Caenorhabditis elegans: one gene and its partner. The protein of the gene in region 2 purifies or fractionates together with the protein of the main gene of each other region. This does not show direct contact. Each region holds a gene or a part of one and is shown on either strand. Other genes may lie near its edges. The genes, in order: fbxb-78 and gcy-9.

The links.
Region 1: the proteins of gcy-9 (region 2) and fbxb-78 fractionate together in Caenorhabditis elegans (co-fractionation; one large-scale study listed by BioGRID). This does not show direct contact.

The regions. Positions count from the first base shown.
Region 1 is NC_003282.8:4,735,483-4,739,524, reverse strand, and holds fbxb-78 (F-box associated domain-containing protein), read right to left. Parts: upstream 1,968-4,042; 5' UTR 1,962-1,967; coding exon 1,870-1,961; intron 1,701-1,869; coding exon 791-1,700; 3' UTR 663-790; downstream 1-662.
Region 2 is NC_003284.9:11,331,740-11,339,817, forward strand, and holds gcy-9 (Receptor-type guanylate cyclase gcy-9), read right to left. Parts: upstream 6,145-8,078; 5' UTR 6,131-6,144; coding exon 6,019-6,130; intron 5,966-6,018; coding exon 5,836-5,965; intron 5,792-5,835; coding exon 5,685-5,791; intron 5,636-5,684; coding exon 5,454-5,635; intron 4,723-5,453; coding exon 4,548-4,722; intron 4,497-4,547; coding exon 4,381-4,496; intron 4,329-4,380; coding exon 4,167-4,328; intron 4,122-4,166; coding exon 3,974-4,121; intron 3,928-3,973; coding exon 3,842-3,927; intron 3,795-3,841; coding exon 3,720-3,794; intron 3,674-3,719; coding exon 3,495-3,673; intron 3,447-3,494; coding exon 3,374-3,446; intron 3,327-3,373; coding exon 3,198-3,326; intron 3,152-3,197; coding exon 2,912-3,151; intron 2,865-2,911; coding exon 2,645-2,864; intron 2,602-2,644; coding exon 2,443-2,601; intron 2,402-2,442; coding exon 2,307-2,401; intron 2,261-2,306; coding exon 2,163-2,260; intron 2,116-2,162; coding exon 1,972-2,115; intron 1,892-1,971; and 13 more. Other genes in the region: Galanin-like G-protein coupled receptor npr-9, read left to right, coding at 1-51, 98-136.

The DNA of each region.
Region 1 (4,042 bases), on a different chromosome or scaffold from region 2:
TTTTTGGTTCCAGCAATAAAAATTTATATGGTACTATTAAGCTTCTTTTTTTCAGAAGAACAATATGTGAAGTTACAATTACAAGTGTTCTATTGGGGACGCACAAAACTGATCTCTTTGAAATTGAGGCGCAATCGCGCTCCAAATAAAACGACTACCCCAACCGTTGGGTCTCGTTAGGTATTTAGCGGTAAAACCAAATATACAGGCGGTTTTCGACTTTTTTGAAAATTGTTTTAAATGATTATTTTGTTTAAAAAAAATGCATGTGATATTGAAAAAGGGAATTCTACTGCTTTTTAAATTTTATTATCAATTTTATGTTATCAGTTTTAACGATTGAAACCGTTCAGAAAAATGAAAGCGTTTGAATTCCTAGTTTACCCGCCAATACCTAACAAGTTGAAAGGCGGGACGTTTTCAATTGGCCGTGGATCACGGCGTTCGTGTTTAATAGGGGAATTTTTCGGCGTTTCCGTATTATGTGCGTCAAAACTTTTTTCCGCCCAAGAAGTGTAAATTTTCATAATCTTGATAAATTCAAGTGGATAGAGAATATTCCTTTGAACGTTTGTGGCGCAATAGCAGAAAAAATGAACTGATTCAAAAAGTGAACCCGGAATTTTAGTCAGACATTCTTAAAATTGAACACTTTAAAGTAGAAATTTAATATATTTATTCATTGTCAGTTTGAAAATGCATATGCATATATATTAAAGTATTAAATACAATTATTAAAATAATTAATCAAGTATACATATTTAGTATTAATTAAAAACCGAATGATAATTTAACTCCAAAATACCATATCAATCAAACTTCGCTGACTATTGACAGTAATATTTTCCTCTGTTCCATCGACTCGTCTAACATCATAACCACCTTTGACACATATCTGCTGGGATCCGGTAGGATGAATTGTCAATTCTCTTTCCGCTGGTGCAACTTGATAATCCACATTTTTGAAGAGTATTTCAACAACTGCTTCATTTTTCAATTGGAGTTCTTTGTAGCCAAAGCAAGCTAGTTCTAACTTTCTGTCGAGTCCGTGAATCCAGTGTTTTAAGAACATATTAACATCTTCAATTTTCATGTCAACCATGAGTGAATAAGTATTAGTAACGAATAAATCGTTCAGATCATATTTGATAGGGTGATATAGAACAATATGGTCCATGTTACGTGTTAAAACCACTTGCAATTGTTTAGATGTTTCTGCTGTGAATGGGTTGCGACTCATTAAAATTGATAACTGATTAGCTTTACGAGAAAACTTTTTCAATGCATACTGAAGTGACAATCTATTCAGATCGATATGATACATGGAGAAAGATTCTATTTCCAGTTTATCAAAACTATCATAGATTGTAGTTTCAAAATGATCGGTTGTAATCTCTAGTTCACTAATGTTTGTTACATGAAATATATCAAGAACGTGATCCAAAAACTGTCTCACTCGAAATATAGGTGTCTTCCATTCACCCAATCGAGTACAGAGATACATATTAATGCACTCTTCTTCAAGACGATGCTCTGAGGTTCGGTATTCGTTAGTGTAGAATTTAAAATACGTGAAAGTATGTTGAAGGGAAATATGAATTATTATGCCAGAACGTATTTCAAGATGGACATCCTCGGCTTTCAGACCTAGGCGTTTTGTTTGTAGCTTTGCATTTTTAGATGTGAGTGAGAATCCTATTCTGTAAAAAAACATTGTTCAGGTTGAGTGATAGGAAATCAATAATTATCTAATAAAATTCCACTAGTGGTATTTTTTGTGATATTTTGTGTGATTGATTGAGATGTGATTGAGTGATATTTGATCAAAAATAATTTGAGTTAACATTGGAAAAAATATGTTTTACTTACAAATCTGCTACAAGCATTCTGTGAAACACGTAGTTACTCGATTTTTGAGGTAATTTGAGCAGTTGGAAAGGAACAGATACGTCGTCGACCATGGCCACAAATGAAGAATGAGCAGATGGAGAGATTGGGTGGTCCTGTCCAGTTGACCCCCCTTCCCCAATTCTCTAATTCTCATCTTAGAGATATTATACATATTTTTCTTTGTCTAAAGCGTGCAGAGACACGCACATGTTAGAACAGTTTAACAGTCTTTCTCCATGTATGCACTAGATCTGATTAGATTCCTACTTCAGAATGCATTAAAAAAGTTTTCTCGTACAACTCAGTTATCAATAATTATGAGTAGCAACTCATTCTCAAGAGAATTATCAAAACAAATGCAAGTGATTGAATCATGTAAAATGCCGAAAAAACTTAATTAAACTTCTCTAAAAATTCAACAATTATTACGTCTGTTCAAAGTTTTGAGAAATATTTTGAAAAATTTCGAACTTTTGTTTCATGGAACATATCAAAAACTGTTAGTAGTTGAAGTTCAATTTCGACAACTTTTCTATTAGGTACAATTTGATCGTTAGTCTGACAATATTGATTTAGTTATGAAAAATTGTCTGAAAATTCATACAAATATTTTATCAACGTCAAAACACAATTTTTAATGTTTTAAATGATTTTTTGTTGAAATTTCAATTGAAAATATGCATGTATAATTGAAAAAGGGATATCTGCTGCTATTCAAATGAGGACTAGTCAATATTAGCCCAACATTTTCTTGTCTCTAGGTCTCATGGCTCATAATCCTCTCTATTAGCTAACACATCTGTCATGTTTTGTATGCTGGAATCCCTCAAAAAACCAATTACCCCATACCATGTAATCAATTGATGTCAATAAAAATACAACAACATACTGCTTGAGAATCTTGAGAATACTTGAGAATCGATTTTCTGAGAAAGGAAAATACCAAAGTCACTGTGATGGTTTCAATCGGGGTTGGGAGGGAAACTGTTTGATATAAAAAACTACAGAGTCTCTAATTTTTTTTACAAAAATTCAGGGAACACCCGCTTCCAAATGTTGTACACATCTTAGAAAATATTTGTACCGACTCGAAACTCTATAGCAGATTGAAATATTGGTGTTCTCCTTCTCAATGCTATCACAGAAATGTATTGATTAAAATCGAGAAAAGGGGTCGAACTAAAATTGTATTTAACCATGTTCCTCTGGGACACATTTTATTCACTTTTCAAAACACAGAAATGATTATCAAGTAATATACGCGTATTTGTACAATAAGTGTTTCGGAATATAAAGCCTCGACCGAAAGAAATGAATTATTTGTTATCACAACGCTGCAAGAACGACGCCTGAACACCGATAAAAAAATTATTTTGAAAATGTTAAACGGTAAAATATATCTGAAAGTACCTGTATTTTTTACATTCTCGGACAACACTAGAACGCATTATAAAAATAAGTTCTCTTGGAGCAGATGTAAATCTAAAATTAGGAAACGTTAAGTCAACCATCATTCAAAAAAATTTGTATCCAAATTAAACAAGGATAACTATGCTAGGAAATGAGCGACATCTACTCTTGATCATTAAAATTCAATCCCTACGATCTATTATTTATCCTGTTCTTTGATCCAATTCTTTCTTATGCTCTCTGACTATGCCCACAATCTCCCAGTCTACCCTCTGACCACGAAACTTTGTATGTATGTATCAACTTTCTTTTCTTTTCACGCTTCTTCAAGAACATAATAAATTATGATTATTGTTATTATATATTCTTTATTTACTAAAGTACTCCAAATTTAACAAATACAAGCAAAATTATACAAATAACAAGTTAACCGCGCACAAACATTTTCAACAGTGATTGAATGTGATCTACAATAATAGTTGCTACTGTTCCATCCATTCGTCTCACATCATATCCTCCTTTGACAATTTGTTCCTTTTCTCCAGGTGGTTGAACCAATAATTCTCTTTCCACAGGTGCAATACAGTAATCCAGGTTCTTGAAGAGAACTTTGAGAACATCATCATTAAACCTAACAACTCGGAAACACACATCAAAATATTCCATTCTCTTGTTGGATCCGTGAATCCAATGTTTCAAAAATAGGTTGACCTTCTTTGAATTCATGTCTTCGCTTATCGAC
Region 2 (8,078 bases):
ACGTCTGTACAACCACTTCGGACGTCAATTCAAGCGAAGAAAACAAAGAATGTAGGTTATTCACGACCGCAAACAACTCTTCTACAACTAATTGCAGATAGGGAGAAGCAAATCAACCCGAAGCTATAATTTATGAACACAGGCAACTTGTTTGATTGTTTTTTTTTCACGGGAAACAGAATTACTGAGTGAGTTTGGCCGCAAGTATAGTAGTCAATTTTTAAACAATCGAGTTTTGATAACGCCAAGTTTTTTTAAATATTGCTCAAATTTTCCTCTTAAAAAATCATTTTTCAGGTCTGTGATACGATGCTCTTTGTGTGTTTCTTCTAATTTATTCGATTATTTCCTGCTTGCCGCGTTTTAACGTTGCAACTGAAAAATGTTTATTTATAGCTTTCCTTTTTGCTTTCAGAATAAATAAAATTCGGGAACATTCTGCTTTAATTTTACTGATTTCAAAAATGTGAGCTATATTTCTGAATGTTGTAAAAATGGGACGCTATATAAAATTGTTTCAAATGTACTCCGAGAATTTGCAAAATGAGATACATAATAGAGTGAACCAAATTGGAAACACATTTCATATCTAAAGTATAGCAAATTTAGAGTAATGCAAAAAATGAATCTATCAGAAAATTGACCAAGAAAATAATTTTGGGTTTGGTAAGTGTAGAATGTGAAATGGCTAGAATCTAAAGATAAATAATTAATGAATTTGATAAATGTTCTATATATTCGGTAATTCTTGAGCTCATAGAATTTGAAAAATATTGGTTTATCCGAAATGAAATCTTTGAATCCAAATCAATCTCATTGTTTGCCGGTTCTTCCTTCAAGGTAATATGTCAGACACTCTCCTTTTCCCTGTAGTTATAAATAATTGTTGCTTTTTTTTCTGATTTTTCGCTTACTTTTACTTCAATTTTTCCTCTCTCAACCATTTGGAATTGAGGAAAGAAGCAATGAAGAAGGTTGTATGCTCCCTCGGATATCTATAAATTCAACAAACATTAGTGACTAATATTAATTCCAACCTGAATTTTATTAGCCACTCCGGTGCTTTCCATTCTAGATGCAGTGTTAACAGTGTCCCCGAAAAGGCAGTAACGTGGAGCGGCAAGACCAACAACTCCAGCGGCAACTGGACCACTATGAAAGCCAATCCTCACCATCATGAGCTCTTCAGGGCGGTGAGCAAGTTTGAAGTTACAGATAAACTGAAATGTTATGGTAATCTTTGCAAGGTGGCAAATGTTTAATTTACCGCTCTCATTTTCAAAGCGACATCAGCAATATTTTGAGCGTGGCTATTTCCATTCTCTGTGGGAACTCCTGATACAATCATGTAAGCGTCACCAATTGTTTCGACTTTGTATGCATCGTGTTTTGCAATAATAGCATCGAATCCACTGAACATGTCATTTAGAAACGTTACAACCTAAAAAAAATTGTGTTAGAAAGGGATCCTGAATCCATGTAAATGTTTAAATTCTAAAATAAATCATTATAAATGTTGTCTAGGTACAAGTTAAAATTTATTGAATTTTTATGAAGAATTACTATAATCTTTTGTCTGAGCTTGCAAACCTGAAGTGGTGTAGATGTTGAAGAAATTCTGGTGAATCCACGAATATCCGAAAACAAAACAGTCGCACAACTATATAGTTGCGGAAGCACTGGCTTTCCAATTTTAAGATCTTCCGCAATTGATCTAAAAGTATGTTCCAACGTTTCAAAAGATTTTTGAAAATATATACATACAATACAGTAAGGACAGACCAAGTGCGAAAAAACTGCATGTTCGCCGCCTACAGTCGCGAAAGATTTGCACAAACACCTCGAATGGTTTGTGGAAATCTATGCTTCTGTAGGCGGCAATATGCATAGTCCGTGCTCAGCATGCGGAGTATCAGAGAATATCAGTAGTCGGTGCAATACACAAATTATGAAAAAAAAGTGGTATCATACTTTGGAAGCATACTGTTGAGAAGACGATCTGCTTGTTTTTGAGCTTCTTCCAGGAGTGCAGTACGATCTCGAACCATGTTTTCCAAATTTGCCGTATATTCTTCCATCATTTTCATCATTTGATCTACTAGAGAACCTTTTCCTCTGCAAACAAAAATCAACACTTAGATCAAAAACTTATTAAAACTTACGTTGATTTCAAGTTAGCATTGACCATCGTCCGAACTTTCTTAATCGGTGGTCTCATTTCAGGAATTTCCAGCCAACAAGCTTCAATACACGAAAGTAACTGAAATTATTTTCACGATTTAAGAAAAAGCAATTTCAATAATAACCTGCAAATTATAACCTTCACCAGTATTGGATGATGGGAAAGTTGGTCGAATCAATTGATCATCATCATTTGCCATTGCCAAAGTCTCCATCAGTTCTGAAATTGCAGTATTTCATTTGAACAATTGTTTTACTTACTATTAATGCTTTTGTTTCTTTCATGGAATGGTTCTACACGGAAAAGTATCTGATAAAGTACCATTCCGAGTGCATATATATCTGCACTTTGAGATCCTTCGGGAATAGTCTTAGTTGTCACGATTTCACGGATTATTTCTGGGGCTTGTTGAAGATATTCTGAATGTAATTTTAGATTAGTGCAAACTAAATTCTTGCAAACTTTTTCTTGCAAAATCCTTTGTAGGATCAGACACATCATCTGCTGATTCGCTATCTGTATTGATAAAAGGGCGCAGCTCATTATGATCCAGCTTTTCAAAAATAACAGCCTCAGTAGCAAAATTAGTAAGCTTCACGGTCCAATTTGAGTCAACAAGGCAGTTTTGTAAACAAAGCATGCCATGGTGCAAAAGTGGAGATGTATGCAAAAAATTGAGTCCCTGAAAGATTTCAAAAGACGTTATTTGAAAACAAAGGCAAGCAACACCTTGACAACATCCTTGGCAAACGACACTTGAAAATTCCTTCCTAGCTTCAATTCGTCGTTAAAAAGAATGTCTTCTAAACTTCCACGAGAACACAGAACCCACATGACAATAAACTCATTTTGCTGATTGAACGATATTCCATAAAACTTATTTAGATTGTCATTTTCACAAATCTTCAGTTCCTTCAACAGTCTAAGTTCTGATTTTGGGAAAGTAATATTGCGTACTTGTTGATAGCGCTGAAGTGAAAAATAATATCACTGAATGGTATATGAGAATATATACCTTAATCGCAAGTTTTACACCGTTAGACACCGCTTGTTTGGCAGCTATCAGTCCGTTTTGTTTTGAATTCATACTTCCCGAGAAAGAGCCAGAACTTTGTGATTTACTAGCCAGAGAGTGTTCGGATTTCTATAATAGAAAATTAAGGATACACTTAAAATTAAAATCAAATATACCGATTTTCCTTCTAGCATTTTAATCGACTCTCTGGGTATTCGCCATGTCATATCATACAGTAATCGTTCCTTTCTGAAGATTTGCAAATCATATTAAATTCTGATGTTAAATTTTACTTACTGTTTCAAATAAATAAAGTAAGACAGTGGTCCGACAGTTAAAATGAAGGCAAGTAAACTAGCTCCAATGAAATACGGTCTGTAATCACATTCTGCGCCCGTAAATCCACATTTCGGCACTGCCGGCGGTAGCTTTCCACTATCGGATGGCCAATAATATTGTATTGTTTCGTGTGCAACCTAAACATGATTATTTCATTTTATTTCAGTAGTCCGTATGCTTTACATGCTCGGAGCACATTTCCTCATTTTTTTCACATTGTCCACGATCATTATTTTTAGCCTCAAGTTCCACAACAATCTAAAAATGTTCAGTAATAGTTAAATATTATTGACAGAACTAAGTACTTTGAGAGTTCCATTGATAGCGTGATAAGTAGCATATGAAGGTACTCGAATTGCCTTATTGTTCATTAAAACTTGACCAGTCATACCTGTTAATACAAGCATTATAAAACCAAATGATTAAACTCGACTAACCAATAAACTGCCGATTCGTCATTCTTGACCATATTAACGATCCATTCATGTGAACATTGTAACCCCCACCATCTTCAAATGCATCTCGAAGGGCCAATCCATAAAGAAATAAAGCATCATAAAGAGACATATATGATAATGTCGCATACTGTAATTCTGATCTCTACATTAAGAAAAAAAGAAAGAAAAATACATGATTTGCAAGGACTCCTGTGACAGCACTGAATTTCATCTGGAAATCATCAAAAAACTTTTTATCGTAACCATGAGCAGTGATAATGATTGTGTTCTCAAAAGCAAGTTTCACTTCTTGTTTGTCCACGTTAGCCGCTTCCCAAGGATAATGATCGTTTTGCTGAAGGATGTCTGGTGTTGTTCCGGGTTTTGTGGTATTTTTATAAACTTACATGAGCTAACCAAGGGATTACAAACACAAACTCCTCATTTTTGATTTCAGATCTGTGTATTGCCAACATAAAGTTTGTGACTGAGTGAATATCCATTCCAAGCTCTACCACGATTACTGGAAAAAATTTTATGACGAGAACATCAACAAACGGTTAAAAAAACTTACTTCTTGCCATGCTTTTAAGTGTTGTTAGCTTTCCGGTGGAAATAATTTCTTCTGGAGAACTGAACGGCTCAATATCCAGGATGACATTAAGATTGATGTCTCTTTTTTTGATTTGATGTTGCAAAGAGTATACAGAAAGCCGCTCGTACCCGACACTTGGTCGTACAATTCCAATCTGAAAACGTTATCTGTCGTAATTCTAGAACTGCATATTGCTACATCCGGGGAATAGAAGGCGGAGGTGTCTATAAAAAAGGCGACTAATAACGGATTAGTCTATAATCCTCCAATCCATTTTGGAGTCCCCACCGATTGCTCCGGGCAGATCTGATGCGTCGTATCTGCTTATATACAAATATATATTAATATATTTTGTTGGACGGCCAATGACTACATCCGGTATTTAGTCACTTGTGGGGGGAATTTAGGCACGAAATCATGCTCCGTCAAACATAAAAATAATCGACTTAAATCTTTCGTTTTTGATCATTTAAAAAGTATTGATAAAATGACTCATGTCCAAAAGTCAAAATAAAAAACATAAAGGTCGAAAAACATATTTTAATTTGATTTTGAACGGATTCCCATCGTTTGTTTTTTATTTATAGAAACAATCACGTTTCATCCACCGCAATTTGCAATATACAATGTAAAAAACTCAGAACTGCGGACAATTAAAAGAAGACAGTGGTCAGTTAATATTTTTGAAATATTCCCCAGGAATCGTTTCACAGGAGAATATTTACTGTAATAAAATGAAATAGACAGTTTAATTATGATAAGTTTCAAAAAACTACATTATTGCTAATGAAAAACCTATTAGAATCCTGATGAGTACTTAAGTCAAGCAATGAAAATATGGAATATTGGAGCAAACAAGTAATTGTTTATTGTCAAACGTCCTACCTGGTCCCAATTGTTCAGATTTAAATATGTTACAGTCGCCTTTGCCATTTCACTTGCAGATGTCAGTGCAACTGAACCGAGTGTGGGAAATTGGACACGATCAGAAAGAGCGTCATCTCCAGACATATGAGCAATTATTGGAACGTTCCACCTAGGCGCGAGTCTTCCAATAACCAACATTTCTGAGAAAAAAGAATTACTAAATAACTTGAACATTCTCAAAAGCATTACCATTATTACAACCGGGTCCAAAATACACTGAAGCATTTTTCAAATAATGAAGGAAAGCAGCATGTTCAACTCCCGAATACTTGTTGCAACTTTCCATTGTAAAAACACTAAAATTGGAAAGACTTGTTTTTTTTAAATTCAAACTTCTTACGTTAAAGTATAATTTTGTGGAAGAATATTTCTCATTTTCAAATCGTCTGCGCACATTTTTAGAACATCTGGTTCGTGTGCTATAATAGGGTTCGTGGGGTGAAGGTGACCTATTCGAACAATCCCTTCTGCTGAAACAAAACAATAATTGTTTTATATGTATTTTATGAAAAAGATTGCTCACAACTAAGTGTAGTTTTCACATGTTGATTGATTTCGTCATGACTGATTTTACTGATAGATCTTCTTGACTCCGCAAGTAGCAAAGAAGAAATGAAAAATAAATATAAACGCATTTATCATCTCATATGAGGGGCATTTATCCCGCAAACAGTAACAATTCTTATATATTTTTTACAGGAATGTGTTGATGGAACGAATTCCAATATATGTAGAAGTAAAATGTAAAAAATTCGGAGTAGTTGGATTGATGAATCTCCGAAGGAGGTGTGAAGTCTTATGTAGCCACTCACTTCTTATCATGCCGGAAGGGCCCATCGGAAGTGGATAGATGGGGTTTAATGGAAAGAAGGCAAGTGTGTGTCACAACAAGCGTCGAATCCTACGTTTTTCTGATGTACACTGATGACTAGGTTGTTGTGAATACATTAATAGGATCTCAGCGTAGAACTATGACACTGTCTAATGCAACATCATCGAAACACACGAAAATACTTTTAAAAAAACAAGCCGAGTTTTTTTTTTGGTAGTTTTCAGAATTTTTAACAGTGTTATTCATTTACCAAGTGTACTCCCTATTAGTTATACAGTGTGTAATTTTCTTGCATTTCTAAGAGTCATCCTAATATTAGAACTTCAATCAGTATTTCAATAATTCGGGACAAGACAAGGCGTACCTTGTAGAATTTTCAGATAATTCTTCAATTCCTGAAAAAATAAACCTAGACTTGTTCAAAACGTTTACACATGTTAGCACTTGTCTTGCTTTTTACAACTTAAAAGGCTACTAGAGGTAATACGGGGAATGATTGTGAGACCAATTTTAATAAAATACGTTTCTATGAATCTCAACTTGGGATCAAATAAAAATATATATGCAAAGTCTTTCTGAATAAAACATGGTTATACAATGATACGCGGTAAACTATGAAAAACGGTAATTGTAATATTATGAACCAGCCGTGGTCCGCACCTTCGGCGCGGCCCCCGACTTCTAGGGCTGAAAATCAATTTTTATGAAACTACCGTAACCCTACAGTATTCCTACCGTACCACTATTGTACCACTACAGTACCCCGACTATATCCCTACACTAACCCCAACTCACTATCCCTCCAGAAGTCAAAACTTCACAGACTACAAAGACTACATAGACTACAAACTATGGACACACAGAATAAGCGCTTTATATTATATATAGTAAATTATCATGAAGAACAGAGACATATGAAACAAAAATATCAATCAAAAAACCAACCAGCTTGTGCTCAAACATCTTCTGTTTTTTTAACTTAGTAAATTTTAGTCACGCTAACAGAAATTCCGTACTCTATGAATTTTGTGAACTACAGATTCTAGTGATTCTAGATTCTAGTGTATTAGTTTAGTTATAGCATGGATTCGATTGCATTTTTTCAAATGTTTTTTTTTTTGAAAAATAAAACGAATTTTTGCTCTTCAGTTTCCCAAAGGAATTTCCACCTCACCATCAATCTGTGCAAAGTTCTCCCACTTGATAATCTTTTTTAAATGATCTGATATCAATGATAACAAAAGATAAAAAATATCGGACACAAATCTCTGAATTTTCTTTTTATCTCTCAATATGTCTGAGAGCGCATTGTTTCAATTCTCAAAAAAACCACACTGCAACATTGTCGTAACCTCTTGGGTCAAGTACGCAACGTGTATGCAGATCGGCCCTCTTCTTCTCTTCCCACCGCACACTATTTCACTGTGCACATTTACCTTTTTTGACTGTTTCTTGAGTTCTGAGATGGTATCGTTTTTTCTCGCCGCCTTTTTTCTCGACATTAGCCTTCTAGAAACACTGGACAACGACGCAATTTCGTCCTAGCTGATATGAAAGATGACTATCTTCGACCGACCTTGGCACACACACACACATACACAACATACACAAAACGCTCTCACATTCAATACAGCCACACACACTAAGCGCGCTCAGACACACACAAAAACGGACAGGTCGACTACACCGATTCGGCACGCCTCCATTAGTTTTCCTCGCATTCTCTTTTTCATTACAATGCACTTTTGTCG